2 linked regions of the Saccharomyces cerevisiae S288C genome follow. Changing the gene in region 2 together with the main gene of any one other region gives a genetic interaction. Each region holds a gene or a part of one and is shown on either strand. Other genes may lie near its edges. The genes, in order: NTF2 and PMP1.

Region 1 (3,047 bases), on a different chromosome or scaffold from region 2:
TAATTGGTCATGAGCTCTAGCTGTACTTCTCTCGGGCACGTAAGTACCATTTTGCATAGTAGGGGTGGTTTCTGTTTCTTCCGCCAAAACTGCGTTTAAGTCCTCCAAAAGGTTATCAACCTTACCATTTATTTCTTGAGTATAACTTTCATTGTCTACTTTGTTTCTTTTACTTTTTTCTTCCTCCTCCTTTTTAGCAAGCGCTTCTTGCTCTTCTTTTTTTAATCTCTCAGCTGTTTCTTGTTCTCTTTGTTTTCTCTGTATTTCCAATAGTTCTCTCTCTTTTTTTAGGCGTTGCTCTTCTTCGAATTGCCGTTGACGTTTCAACTCCATTTGCTTTTTAGCCTCCAGTTCCATTTGACGTTTTCGTTCCTCTTCTTCGAGTTGTCGTTGGTGTTCCAATTCCATTTGCCTTTTCCTCTCCTCCTGCTTTATTCTTCTTTCCTCTTCTAATCTTTTCATCTCATTTTCCTTTTGTAACTGAAGTCTTTTTTGCTCTTCTAATCGTCTCAGTTCAGCCTCTTCTTGTTGCTGTTGTTGCTCTAACTCGTATCTTTTATTCACTTCATTCAATGTCGAATTGGAAGAATAGGGGGCCTTATTTAGAGATTTCATTCCTGCATGATATTCCACGCTTGCAGGCGTTGACACTGGATTAACGCTTTCTGTTTCAGACCTTCTTGTCCTCTCAGTAGGTGCTGAAAAGGGGACAGAGCCCACCGATTGGGTAGTGTTTGTCGTGAAATTACTTGTAGGTGACTTTATTGGAGATACGGAACCGGGGCGATTTGTGATGACTGCTCTTTGATAACTCCTCTCGTCAAGATAAAAAAGGGATAAATCCCAATTGACCAATTCAGGGACATGACCTTCGAATGTTTGAATGTATAGAGTAATTAGAGATTTAATGAAAACAGTTCTTTCCTTCGCAGAATTCGTTTCCCAGTAGTATTTTTTACTCATGGTAAGAATGAAGCCTTCAGATATCTCCAGGTCCTTCTCTACTCTTACTAGTTCGGTCAACTGCCAAGTTCTACCAATTTGAAAAGAGCCGTCTGAGTTTTCTCTTGCTTTATGAATTTGTATTAGCTTGGCATTGTTGGGCTTGGCACTCAAAATAAGGAGTCTTTTCTTTTTGTTCTCCAATTTTGAATCTGGAGGAGGTCTTGAACTAGGGAATTTTGAATCTTCTATAATCCGGACATGTGTAATATAATTATTCGGCGGTTCACCTGTCTTATGGTCGGGTCTGGAAAAGCAGCAATTAATTATGGCTTTCCTATCCCTTTCATATTGTTCGGCTAAAAAATTCGAAGTTTGAGAGGAATTTGAAGCTCTCGACACGTTTCTCTTATGCGAATAATTTCCACCAGAAACAGGTGGTGCGGAAGAGGGTACTGCACCTTGACTGACGTTTCTAGAATGGTGAGCACTGCTACCGGATATTGTTCTCTTGTGGAAAAACGATGTGTTTTCATCGTGTGATGTCTCACGACTGTGAGACTTCCTTTTAAAAGGAGACTTCGAGGACCTCATAATATAGAATAAATTGCGTAGCCTTGTTACCTAGCTGGAGATATCTGGCACCGACTCAGTCTTTATGACCGCTTTTTCTTCATAAGCTATGATACTGTTATTGCTATAAGTGTTCACCAAGTTAGTATTTGCCCATTAATACCGGGTGACATAGTCCCACAAGCGTGGTTCTCAAAAAGCAACGAAAAATTTTCTGACTTGGCAAGGTGAGACTTAGGCTGATAAGTAAGTACTTTTTAGTTTTTAGTGTACAATACCCCCTAAGGAACCCAGGTTTTAATACTATTATCTTTATAATGTCTCTCGACTTTAACACTTTGGCCCAAAACTTCACCCAGTTTTACTATAATCAATTTGATACCGATAGAAGCCAATTGGGTAACTTGTACAGAAATGAATCTATGCTAACATTCGAGACTAGTCAATTGCAAGGTGCAAAGGACATTGTTGAGAAATTAGTATCTTTGCCATTTCAAAAGGTCCAACATCGTATCACTACTTTGGATGCGCAACCTGCTTCCCCAAATGGCGATGTCTTAGTCATGATCACTGGTGATCTGTTGATTGACGAAGAACAAAATCCACAGCGTTTCTCTCAAGTGTTCCATTTGATTCCTGATGGAAACTCTTACTACGTGTTTAACGATATCTTCCGTTTGAATTACTCTGCTTAAGGATTTTTTAAGTCACCACAGAAACATGTATTTTCATTTTCGAATATTGTTTAGCATAATTGAAGATGCTTAGCTAACGATGTATAAGGCGATAGCGATAAAGAAGATATATATATATATATATGTATGAAGATAGCGTTTTTAAATGTATTTCTTTAATACTGATCTTCGATCATTTTGAGCTTGTTTGGCGGGAATACCATTCTTAATATCTTCAGAGACAAGTAAATCCACTTCAATTGACTTTTCGATATAGGTAACTAATTTTGAAATGTCAGTCTCTTGAACAGGAATGCGTACTATTCCATTATTGTCACCTGCAATATAATCACCAGGACATATTGTTTGGGTTACGCCATCACTCGTTAAGATTTTCAACTGTACGTTAGTGCCTACGGCTTTAACGACAGCCTTTGGAGCGCAAGATCCAACACCGTAAGCAAAAACGGGATGGTTTAAAGTCCGGTGTTCATCCACATCTCTTATGCGTCCAAAGACTACTGTCCCATTCGATTTCAAATATTGTGCTCTGGTACTCATCAGCCCCCCGTACATCGCTTGCGTAATTTTAATAAATGGGTGGAACTGACTTTGCAAATGGGGCTCCAGTGCGAGGACGAGTATTGAGTTGGGAGGGACAGAGTCTATATAGTTCACGGCAGGTCTTGGATCATCAATGGGTGCAAACAGTACTGTGTATGCAGTGCCTACTATGGAGCTATTTTGCGGTGGAGAAATTGCTGTTAGATTAGGGAAATAACCACCCGTTGGAATGTTATAAACATTCAACAATCCGTCCGAAATATCACAGGTTGAGAACCTCTGTAACTTTTGAAG
Region 2 (2,947 bases):
ATTTATTTATTATTTAGATTTTCTAAAAATAAAAAAAAATCATACACTATTTTGATTACACTACTATGTAATTTATCTTTGAAAACAACCATGAAAAACTCAATTTTACACACACATGAGTTATCATGAGGAGTCATCAGCCAGACTTAACAATCACACACATTGTTAAGAGTGGAAAAAAATAATAGTGATAAAAGGAAAAAAGCTAACAATTTGGATTTTACGGGATCTGTCTAAATACGAAACACACACTCGTTTTAGTTCAAATATCATAACCATAAAAAAAAAAGCACAATTCAACTTGAGCACGCACACTAAGTAGTAACAACGTTCATTTACAGTAAAGCGAACGGACGAAACAAATAAAAGAAAGGCATAGTGAGGGATAAAAGGTAGAAAGAATTCAAAAAAGGGTATCGCACACACACACATAGTAGTCTAATTCATGTTCTAGAATGGATATAAACAAAGATGAAGGGGACAGGAAATAAAATGGCTCGCTCCGCCCTTTTTAGAATCTTTGCAATCCTCTTTGTCTAGCTTGCCATTTTCTGTAGATAATGGTAGCAATAATGGCAATACAAGCCAAACCGACCAAAATGAAAACTAAAATAACACCACCTGGTAAAGTCATTTATGATAGATTAAAAGTGCTGAAATGGGAAGAGGAGAAACAAACAAAGGATATGTAGGAACAAAAGTTTGCTTGAGTGACTAGTTTGAAGTTGAGAAAAAAAAAGAGATGAAAAAGTTAACTTATTTGCTCTTCCTTCAAAGTGTGTAGCGTCTTCCTTTAAATACTATTGAAAGGGAAAAAGAATAAATGGAAAAAGGGTAGTAATGAAAAACTCTAAAGGAAGATAAGACGCAATAAGAGAAAAAAAGGGAAGTTAAGATTACAAGAGAAACAATAAATTGCTTTCAAAGCTTTATATACTGGCAAGCACGGAAGGCTAAATTTGAAAAAAAAAAATGGGAAATTATTATCGGAAAAAATTGAAGCTATCTTCTATTACGCAGTGACAAGTCTATATTGACATCTTTCTGCTTTCTGCTTTCTGTTTGTTGTTTTTTTTCTCATAGTTGTTTTGATTTTACTCTGTTGGAAATGCGAAAATTGTTTTGATTTTACCCGATTGCGACCTATTCCCGGCTTTCCCAAAAAAGGAATTCCTGTCCAATGCAACGACAGCCATAGAAACAGCCGCGGTTGGGTGCGTGGGTGCGGTAATTTAACGATCATATGGTATGGGTGCACGTGGGATTCTAGGGGAAGTGCGCGCGGATACCGAATCGGCCATCGAACCGGCCACCCGGATTGAGTTTGGTATGTTGCCTCTTTGCGCAATTTTATTGAATGCAAAGTTTCTCCTTCTAGTAAAGGACAACAGCTGAAAAATGCTCGATGTCCAAATGACGACATAAACCTCCTCGTTTAGGAAAGAGTTAACACGCCTAGTTTCAGCTTGTTTCTTTTTATTGTGTAATTAGTTTTCTTACTTAGTACATCTTATTGACCCCACTGTCATCGGATGTGAGAGAGTGGTTCACTTCTGAATTAAGTTTAGAGATATACTAAATCTAAATAAAAGTCTCTTTCTGCGTGCATATGTTTTCTTGCGCGGGACTCACAAGGATGCGTCTTTTATTTCATAACGCGGTTGTCCCACCTTAAGCTTAGGTATCAGAATCGACTAAATCGTCGATGCTGTCAATTATGTCGTCAATGAGATCTTTTGCGTCGTTGATTATGTCTTGAAGCCAATCCCCCACTGTGCTAGCAGTAGCGCTAGCTTGTATGCTGCTGCTGCTGCTGCTTCTTGATGATGGTGATGTTTCGCCCAGTAGAGTCTCAGTTGCTGATGGTATTGAAGTTGTCATTTCTAGTTTTATCGTTAATGACGAAGATGGCATAGCGGCTATTTCATCAGTGTTTCCATCGTCGTTGTCATCATTATCATTGTCAACATTGTCTTGTTCTGTCTCTTCGGGGTACCCGCCCCAAATTATATTATAAGTGCTGAATTCACCAAACTTACTGACCAAATAATCAAAGTCATCTTCAATCTCTACTTCTTCGCTGCTCTGGGGTTCGCGGAGTTGGTTCATAAGCATCCCAGTCCCATCATTGGAATTTCTGTCCTTTTCTGCCACACCGCAAATATCACACAAAAGGTTGTAAATTTCGGTATTTTGGAACGGCTCAATGTATCCCTGTGGAAAATATGGCCCCATACCAATAAATACAGATCTCATATCGATCGCGTTATTGTCGTATCCATGTGATCCAATCGTGAACACATTGTCTTCGTTTTTGTCCTTATGATCACCTTTTGCCACCTTCTTCAATTGTTCTTTCTTCATCACTGCATACCCAGGCTCGGGCACAATCCAGATTGACGCCATGTGATGATTTTTTCCATCATTAAAGTTCCATTCTTTGGGGAAATTTCCATTAACGTAAACCGTATACTTGTCTTCATCTATAGAAGTCTTTAAATTGTGGTAAACCTCATTGATGTTTCCGGAATCTTTCAACGATATAGCCATCATCGGACCCTCTAGATATGCGTGCGATACATAATCCTTCCTCAATTTTTCGTCCAGTAAGTCTTCCCATATAATAACATTTGAGGGAACTACGATATCGCTCATACCATGATCGCTAACAATGACCAAATTAGTAAAGCTGGTTAAATTTCTTTCTTGCAGCGATTCCACTAGTTGCTTCAGAAATGTATCTACTTCCCCCAGTGTTTCAGTGAAGTCTTCATAATAGTATTCCGACTCTGACGGATATCCATGCTTATGTCCAAAGGCATCTACGTTCGGTACATAACCGAGAATTAGCTGTGGTCTTTCGTTCAGTGTACTCATATCCACATATTCAATAATCTTGGATAATTTTTGCGAAAGTGGTTCTTTAGCATTGAATTCGTCGAAGTAA

What was found.
Region 1: mutations in PMP1 (region 2) and NTF2 together harm fitness more than expected from each alone (negative genetic interaction), as found in Saccharomyces cerevisiae (one large-scale study listed by BioGRID).

What each region holds. Positions count from the first base shown.
Region 1 is NC_001137.3:170,283-173,329, forward strand, and holds NTF2 (Ran GTPase-binding protein NTF2), read left to right. Parts: upstream 1-1,832; coding exon 1,833-2,210; downstream 2,211-3,047. Other genes in the region: GTP-Rho binding exocyst subunit SEC3, read right to left, coding at 1-1,536; YER010C (bifunctional 4-hydroxy-4-methyl-2-oxoglutarate aldolase/oxaloacetate decarboxylase), read right to left, coding at 2,352-3,047. UniProt on the Saccharomyces cerevisiae protein: Facilitates protein transport into the nucleus. Interacts with various nucleoporins and with Ran-GDP. Could be part of a multicomponent system of cytosolic factors that assemble at the pore complex during nuclear import.
Region 2 is NC_001135.5:162,434-165,380, forward strand, and holds PMP1 (proteolipid ATPase), read right to left. Parts: upstream 635-2,947; coding exon 512-634; downstream 1-511. Other genes in the region: YCR024C-B (uncharacterized protein), read right to left, coding at 166-432; YCR025C (uncharacterized protein), read right to left, coding at 1,013-1,423; nucleotide diphosphatase/phosphodiesterase NPP1, read right to left, coding at 1,678-2,947.